Linked DNA regions of Tribolium castaneum. The protein of the gene in region 1 purifies or fractionates together with the protein of each later gene. This does not show direct contact. Links are inferred from orthologs where the notes say so. Each region holds a gene or a part of one and is shown on either strand. Other genes may lie near its edges.

Evidence for each region.
Region 2: the proteins of pre-rRNA 2'-O-ribose RNA methyltransferase FTSJ3 (region 1) and ribosome biogenesis regulatory protein homolog purify together in Homo sapiens (affinity purification with mass spectrometry; 3 studies listed by BioGRID and IntAct, counting the BioPlex papers as one, with this or other methods). This does not show direct contact. The link is inferred for Tribolium castaneum from reciprocal best matches to the Homo sapiens genes FTSJ3 and RRS1.

Annotation. Positions count from the first base shown.
Region 1 is NC_087395.1:17,626,677-17,631,030, forward strand, and holds the start of pre-rRNA 2'-O-ribose RNA methyltransferase FTSJ3, read right to left. Parts: upstream 3,067-4,354; 5' UTR 2,911-3,066; coding exon 2,844-2,910; intron 2,797-2,843; coding exon 2,039-2,796; intron 1,334-2,038; coding exon 1,085-1,333; intron 1,035-1,084; coding exon 1-1,034.
Region 2 is NC_087399.1:2,009,980-2,014,444, forward strand, and holds ribosome biogenesis regulatory protein homolog, read left to right. Parts: upstream 1-1,618; 5' UTR 1,619-1,844; coding exon 1,845-1,987; intron 1,988-2,033; coding exon 2,034-2,523; intron 2,524-3,536; coding exon 3,537-3,793; intron 3,794-3,847; coding exon 3,848-3,974; 3' UTR 3,975-3,989; downstream 3,990-4,465. Other genes in the region: tubulin monoglutamylase TTLL4, read left to right, coding at 1-477, 558-609, 1,105-1,211; uncharacterized protein LOC103314109, read right to left, coding at 4,012-4,176, 4,224-4,387. UniProt on the Homo sapiens protein: Involved in ribosomal large subunit assembly. May regulate the localization of the 5S RNP/5S ribonucleoprotein particle to the nucleolus.

The DNA.
Region 1 (4,354 bases):
TTCTTCTTCCTTGCCTTGGCTTCGATCACTTTTTTAATCGGACGCACATTCAACTCCTCCAAATGCTTCTTGTAATCTTGAACCAACTCTTTGGGAACCGCAGCTTCTTTCCTCATATGTTTCTCCTCATCTTTGACAAACCAATCAGGCAAGTTGTCATCATTAAAAGCGTAACGATTCCAAGCGGCGTCAATTATGTCACGTTTTGTTTTTTTGCTGTTGATCATTAGCGTACCCAACGCCAATTCTTTCTCAGTTAATTTATGTTTACGTTTCTTGCCTACTTTTTGCCCCTCGGGGACAATCTCAAAACCGTCCTTCTTTACGTTATTTTTAGGGGCAAGTTTCTCAAAATCCTCGTATTCGGAATCATCTGAATCCGAACTGTAGTCACTATCCGACTCTGTGTTTTTCGCATCTTCTTCCTCTCCGATAATCTTGGCTCCTTTCTTCTTCATTTCACTCACCAGTCGGTCCAAATCAGCGTCTTCGTCTTTCTCGTCTATTAGATTCTTAAAAGCGTCTCTTTCAAACCACATTTCGGCTTTGTGCACTTTTTTCTCTTCCTTACTTCTGTGGTCCAAGTCCGTTATGAGAGGATGTTTTGGTTTCGTTTTCGATTTAGTTTTCTGTTCTTCCACATCGCTATTTTCGCTATCGCTTAAATCTAGACCTTCCTTAATTTTCCCATCTTCGTCCTCAGACTCGCTTTCCATTTCCAACTCAGAATCTGAATCTTTATAATACAATCCTGAACTACTCAAATGTTGCTCGTCCTTGTTATAACGCAAATATTTTGATTTGATTTCATCTTCTTCATTGTCTGATTGAGCAAGAGTATCAGGCGTTTGATCAATAATTTTCTTCATCTGTTTGGTGCTTGTTACTTGTTTTAGTTCAAACATGCCGTCACTTTCCATTGTGGGGCCACTATCACCTTTCAAGACCATCTTCAAGTTTAATTTTTCGTTCAGCTTTTTGCGCTCCTTTTGAGCTTTTTTCTTTTTTCGCTTCAATTCGCGCTGCTCTTCACTCTACAAATTATATTTTAATTAGTCACAAATTTTGTTAAATAGTGTGTTACTTCAAGTTCCAATATTTGTTGGTGGACGTCCTTCAAATCATCCTCGTCGTCACTTTTCTCCACAGTTTCTTCAACCTCTTCTTCAACAGGTTCATTTTTCTTCTCAGAAAACTCTTCACTCAATGCCTTCTTCCAAGCCAAGAGCTTCTTCAAATCTTTCCTTCCCAAAACTTTAATATCCTTGCAACATTCTTTAATTTCGTTTGTAGTTTTTTCGTGATTTGTTATTTCTTCAACGTCAAAAACGATCTACAAAAAAATCATAAAAGCAACCAAATTATGTTGATCCTCTAGTTGATCCTATGTTTTCAAAATTGAGTACTTCCCCGAATATTAACGACAATTAGCATTTTTCATTAGCCAAGAATACGGAGGACTAAACTTAGGGGATGAAATGGGGTACAAAATCGCAGGATTTTCTGAACCCAAAGAAACAGTACGGCAGAGAAAAAATGAGGGCGCTTTAAAGTAGTTTCACAAAAAGAACTTTTGTGCAACTCCATTTAGTAAATTTTTAGGAGTTGTATTGGCAGTGCTGGGCTGTGAGTCATCACTGTAAAGCCCGAATAATTAACAAAATTAAGAGGAAATAGTTTGAACAGATTTTGATAAATTAAATTAAACAAAAACAAATAACAAAAATAGAAAGTACAAAAAATAGTATATTAAGTGTAATATACGTAATAAAACGAGTGCGTTTTATAAGACTTAATTGTGACACTCATTCTATTGGAGTACTCCTTTGTTGTGCTCCAAAACGATTCGTGCTACAATAAAACGTCTTATAAAACTTGCATAATAATATACTATTATTGCGAGATTTCAATAATGCAGAAGCGCAATTATTTCTCAAAATCTCTTTAAGAAAAAGTCACAAATTTACCAAATTATACTTTTCCCGAGTGTTTAATCACATCTATGGACTAAAAGTGAAGTTTTTTTGGGCGTTTTTACCTCAGAAGCCCCTTCTAGGAGTTCGATCCCTGTAGGGTGTTTAATAAAATCTGATGCTTTAATCTTATGATACAAAGTCCAATCATTCTCGGGGTACCCCTCAGCTTTACTCTTCTTATTTTTCTCAGGATGGTAAATATTCAATTTCTCTTTAGGCTCAATTTCCAACTCCTCAAAAACATATTTCGGGTCCATAAACTTGGAGTCGATTTTATCAGGTGCGATGTAGTGTTGACAAACGACGAAAATTTCCGCCGATTCATTACGCGAAGCTTGTGGTTTGGTGGCATGCACTTTTTTAAAAAACTGCTTCAAAACCCAAATCAGCGAATGGTAATCCTTCGAACGAAACACTTTGGTTATAAACCAGCCCCCTTTCTTCAAAAACTCACTGGCCAGTTTCAAAGAGCTCAACGTCAGGCATGCCTGCTGATAGGCATCATGCAGCCAATTCTTGCCCACATTTGGGGCGCCATCGTGCAAAACAACGTCGGCTTTCCACGTCTGCAGCTCTTTCTTGAGCGAGACGCGGCATTTCTCGGTCGTAATGTCCTCAGTCAGCGAAATGCACCCAGGAATGGGCTTAATTGGGAACAAGTCAATCCCAATGATGACGCTCGAAACGGGCATGTTCTGCTTGGCCACCTGCATCCAGCCCCCGGGGGCGGCGCACAGGTCGATGCATACTCGCGACTTCTGCAAAAACTCGAACTTGCGGTTGAGTTGAATCAATTTGAAGGCTGCACGAGACCTAAAACCTGAAGGCGAAAGTGAGGTTATGGTGCCAAGTTTTGGGAAAACGTACCGGTTTCTTTGGCCAATTGATAGTACTTATCCTTGCGCTGTTTCCCAATTTTAGTTTTCTTTCCCATGTTGGCGCTTTTTTAATTCTGGAAAGCGAAAAAACTAATTTGTTTTCAGCAAACACACATGGCTTTTGACTTTTGACAGAATGTCATTCGGAATTTGTTGTCCTTGTCGGGCAAACGAAACACACATATGACTATCCTTTTTGCGTTATCAAAAAGCAATGCTACCAACTCACATGTTTTAATTTGCGGTTTTTTGGCATTTTTTCAAAATTTTTATCCAGTTGTTATTATTAAATGTTTCGCTGATAAAAGGGGAAAAATAGTTTTATCAACCAATACAAATTGCACTGCATGGCGTGTCATTTTGACCCATTTGTTTAATTTTGTTTTATACATAAGAAAAGCAAAGTATGGGTTGTTAGTGCATAATAGAGTTTTGTGAAATTGGAACTGCATTATCAAAATTTCCATTTATTAGCGGCCTCTAAATGTTTGCGTCACGTGACCCCTCCTTGTGCGTCAGCCAATGGGAGGCGTTCGCGATGGTCCGAGTTTAACTAGCGGCTAGGCCCCGCCGGTCTACAAATGTTCGCTCAGTCGAAATGTTGCGAGCGAGGTCGGAACAGTACGAACAGACCATAACGGATTTCCATTTCAGCTGGGCTGGTTAAGTCTAAAGAGTTTTCTGAGTATTTCAAAAATAATTACATTAACAATCGGCATTGATGGGCATATTGGAATAGTGGTTTTTATGGAAATATGTTGCGCGTGGCTGGGGCTTCGCCCCAGTTAACTAAAAGGAAACAAACCCCACGACCAATTAAACTCGAAAACGTGGAACTCGAAACGTGGAATAGTGTTTTTTTATGGAGCTAGGGTGGCGTACAGTTCATAAACATAAACACTATTCCACGTTTCGAGTTCCACGTTTTCGAGTTTAATTGGTCGTGGGGTTTGTTTCCTTTTAGTTAACTGGGGCGAAGCCCCAGCCACGCGCAACATATTTCCATAAAAACCACTATTCCAATATGCCCAGGGTGGTGAAACCTAAATGCACCAAGCCAAGTATAGGCGCCAAATTCAAAATCGACTGTAGTTCGGCTTGCTATCGCAGATGTCGCACACACGTATAGTCAATTTTAGCGAAGCTACCTATAATATCGGCAGAAATTAACAGTGGACCTGTGACAGTTGCCATTGTGTAAATCGCCATTTTGTGCTTGGTTTGTTTGGTGTTCGCCTTCGGCTTTGTTTTATGTGAAATTAGTACTGTTTTGTGGTTTTTTTCGTGTGTGTGCTTTTTTGAACTTTTTTATTGTGGGAATATAAATAATTTGATGGATCAATCATTAGTTTATAGTTATCGTATCGTGTATATTGACTAGTGATAATAAATTTTTATTACAAGTTTATTGTCTTTATGTATTCTCATATTTTATTTTTCGTATTCTTTGTAAATATTCAGCAACAATAGTTGTCTAACATCAGAAAGTGTTATTAGCAA
Region 2 (4,465 bases), on another chromosome or scaffold:
AGCCCGCTAGATGCACATGTTAAGGGCCCCCTTGTCCAAACCTTATTTGATCTCGCACAGTTCCATTTTCCGCCAAGGTTGTCTCAAACCGTCCGTCACAGCCCCCAATGTTTCGACCCCAAATTGTACACAACTTCGCTCACGAAAAAAGAGCGGGAAAAGCACACACTTTTCGAACAGTATGAGTCACGACACGACTACCTCGACGATATTTTGGCCGAATTGACTGGCGATGATGTGCGAAAGTTGACGCAAGCCGAAGACGAGTGGTGTGTTAAGGGGCGTTTCGAGAGGATTTTCCCCACCTCGCAGACGCACAAGTATTTGAATTTCATGGAAGTTCGGTATTATAATCGGCTGTTTGATGCGTGGGAGTGCCGATTTGAGAGGAACAGGCAGGAAGGGATTAACTTATTGAAGGCGTTATGCGCCGAAAAAGTGCACTTAAAAGTGGCGCCGCAGAGTACGCTACACAAGGTAATTTCATTGCGTTAGTTAAGTGTGGGGGTTGAGTTTTTGTTTCAATTTTTTTTGTTTGGGTGGTACTACCTACCAAGGCGAGACATTTCGTACTGGCAACACTGCAAAGCGTTTGTTCACAATGTCGCAGTAAGTCGGGACGTGGTGTTGTTTGTGTGTCTACACTAATGGCATATGAATTTTTTTCTATCGTCTAGTTCTAATTCCCGCAGGATTTTAGTCATAGCAGATAGACACGTAATAGATTAAAATTACTAATAGGTAGGACATAGGAGTACTAATTTCGTGTTAGGGGTTTCTAGTCACAGATGGCCAACTTAAAAAGCTCGGTTGAGTTAATTTCCGTCCAGATGGCGCGAATTTTAATTCTTGTGTCGAAACGTGTGCCCTTTTGAAAAAATTGGAGAACGGTGGACAGGTGTGGGAAAGTGGATATTTTTTTCTAAGGAGTCGGCCGTCTGTATGTCTGTGTAGTTGGGATTTTAGAAGAAACTGGGCATTTATTGAAAGCAATTAAACATTTATTACGTTTTATAAATAAATGCCCAGTTGGGCAAATAGTTGCACGACTTAGTTAGGGTCCCACAGTTGGTTGGGCCAATCTGACAGCTTGTAATTCCCCAGAATTCGCTGAGTACGAGCCATGGGTGTGCGAGTCTGCAGCCGTCGAGGGAAGGCCAGAGTCGGCCTCTTGCAGAAATCCTGCAAGAGGTCACAATCGAAAGCTCTAGCTGTAATTAACTGTATAAGTGAGTTGTTTGTTGCGGTTTTTCCCGTTCTAATCAAGTGGCGGTTTCAGATGGAATTCTAGAAGTGTGTTTCTTTTGTTACGAATGAGGACAAACACCAGCATTTAAACTGCCAAATTTGTACGTTGTTTTAATTCCTTGTTAAATTATTGTAGCGAGATATTCCATTTACATTTGCATTTACAGCAAAGTGTTTTTTAATTGATTTTTATTAGTGTATTGAGTCTGATGAATAAAATATTTCTTTTACATTAAATGTCTTCGTCTGGGTCCGGGACCGCGTTCCTCGGGATCTCAATCCTCTGGACTGTGACGTTGAGTTGCATCCTTATATCCAGCAAAAAGCACAGAAACAGGATAAAGAGGGGCACCTTGAGACGCAGGGTGTAGCCCAGCTTGAGCAGAAAAAGCAAAGGTTCGGCGAGTGGCATGACTCAGCACCACCACGATCACATTTTTACAAAGAAACGCCCAGATTTTGGCAAAATATTTTGAAATTGGTTGACATTTGTCAGCGACAGGTGTCAGTTCGCCAGCCGAATCTGGGGATTTTCGCTCCACGTGTAACCGTTTTGTCGCAAGTGAGGTTAGAATCCCCAGACAGGTTTTAACAACATGGATGTTGTTAAAACAATTTTGGAAAAATCGGCCAAAGAGGCCGAGAAATACAAATCAGTGGAAGTTAACAAGTTGGTGAGCATCGATTTAGGCGCCTTGCTGGCCGAAGACCTGAACCCGCTCGATCCCGGCGCGTTGAGGTGAGTTTTGGGGTCCGCTGAGCACGCTTTTCTGACCCAATTTTAGGAGCTCCACCAACGATTATTTACTGAATTTGACTCGGGATAACACCCAGTTGCTGTTTAACCAAATCTGGGAGTTGCCCACGGAGCGGATAGACGAAGCAATTGTCGCGAAGTTGCCCAAGCAGAAGTTTTGTTTACCGCGCTTCAAGCCCGTGCCGAGGCCCAGGCCGCTGACCAAGTGGGAGCAGTTCGCCAAAGCCAAGGGCATAGTCAAGAAAAAGAAGAGTAAGTTGTCTTGGGACGAGCAGCTGCAAAAGTGGATCCCGCTGTATGGTTTCAAACGGAGCGCCGCCCTCAAGGAGAAGGACTGGCTGATTGAAGTGCCACAAAATGCGGACCCTTTGGAAGACCAGTTCGCCAAGAAAGTCGAGGCTAAGAGCGAAAAAGTCGCCAAGAATGAACTGCAAAGGCTGCGCAACGTCGCCAAAGCGAAAAATGTGAAAGTGCCCAGGTTCGGGCTCACCAACCCTGAGGTTTCGTCCGCAAAAGACGTGAGTTTTTGTATTTTTATCGTGTGTACGGCCGGAAATTTAAGTGTTGCACCAAGTTGAAAAATACGTGAATTTGTGTTGTTTTATTAAACGTTTAAAGTAGTTGCTTCTTTTTTAATAATAATGATATAACAATAAGCCGTCTTTATTCGAACCGTAAATACAACTCGGGAGGCGAAATTGAACTTAATTCCCTTAAGAAACGAAGAAGTAAATGAATAAATGAATAAATTAAATTGACAAAAATTGCTCTAAAAAAATAATAGCAAATAAAGCAAGAAGAAAATAACAAAAAGCAAAAACAATTTTGGAAAAAACTATAGATCTAAACATGAGTGACAAATAATAAGGCCATAGTTAAAGTTGGAAAGCATCAAAAAAGATTGGCGGAGTTTTTGTCAAATTTTTTTCTGAACCTTAAAAAGGTAAAAAAAATAAAAATTCAAAAATTTAATTCTGGATTTCCGGAAAAGTAAAACTAAGCTAGCTTTTAAAATACTGTTATGAGCGATTTTTCACTTGTATAAAACCAAAAATTAAACTTTTATGGAAAAAAACAAACAAAAGAAACAACAAAAAAATAATAGAATAATATAATATTGGCATTAAAAAAATCAAGTTAGCCTTGTTTCCCCAGAACAAATGACGACAGAACTTTGATACACATCTGAGACGATAGAATTTACATAATTTCGAACATATACCAAATTTCATTAAGTTTTGATGAATAGTTTTTATAATATTTAAATGGATGCCTGCATATGATCTGAATAATTACATAATTTACGAATTCTGATATTTCTGAGCTGTATATTAAAAATAGAAATGGTCCCAAAATTGAGCCTTGTGGGAATTCCGGATGTAATGTTATCTGCCTTTGATTGTGAGCTGTCTATAGTAACAATTTAGTTTTTATTTGTTAAATACGAATAAAAAATTTGGAATTTTGTTAAAACCTTTAACATAAAAAGTATTAACTTTTTGTTTTCGAAATCAAAATGTTTGATTTTTAGTTGCAAGCGGCGGTAACAGTGGCTAAATCGTCAACCGCAAGTCTGGGAAAATTCCAAGACAAGCTCCCCAAGGAGAAGGAGGCGAGAGGCGTCGCTGCTATCACTCCCGGAGCGACGAGAAAACGAAAATTACCTCCAATTTCGGGTCAAAACGAGAAAAACCAAAACCTAAATCTCGTAGACGAGGTTTTGAACAAACGACCGAAGATAAATATTGAAAAAGCGGTAGCCCGACAAATAAACGACGAACAAGCGCAGTGAGTGTTTTACTCAGTCGGTGGTCCAAAAAATTCATATATTTTTTTTCCCAGGAGATCTGATGAGAAAAACCGAACTGGGCGCAAGAAAGGCCTGCGAAAGTCTGGAGGCGGCAAGAAGCCGAAAAACACGAACCGGCCCCGAAAGGGCAAAGCCGCCGGGGGCCGGAAGCGGCGCTAGTTTTGTTCCAATTGTATATTTTTACTTAGAGGTGAGTTTAAACATAGATTGTTTCTCCCTGTTTTTCCCATCCAAGACTCGGGTCTTTCGACACGGCCATGTAGACCAGAGTGCCCTCGCCTGGGAGGGGCTTAGCCGCCACGTAAGTCCGCTTATCGCTCGACCAGCGGCACATGAAATCGCGGCCTCGGCTCTCGTCAGCCTTAAATTACAAATCAGTTTTTTGTTTCAGTTAAGACGATTTGTTACTTTAGTGTCGAGTGGAGAAGGGCCGAGATAATCTTCACCTTGGACTGCCTTGTGGAGGACTTGGAGGAAGTACTTGAAGAAACTGTTTCGGTTTTTCTTCACTGTTGTATCGGTTGCTTTCAATTGACGCAACTTCAAAATCCATTTCTTACAAATTTCTTTGTCTGGAAGTGTGTATATAATCTAGAGTGACTTTTGTATATAACCAAACACGTTTTGGCCCATCGAAGTGGGCGAGAATT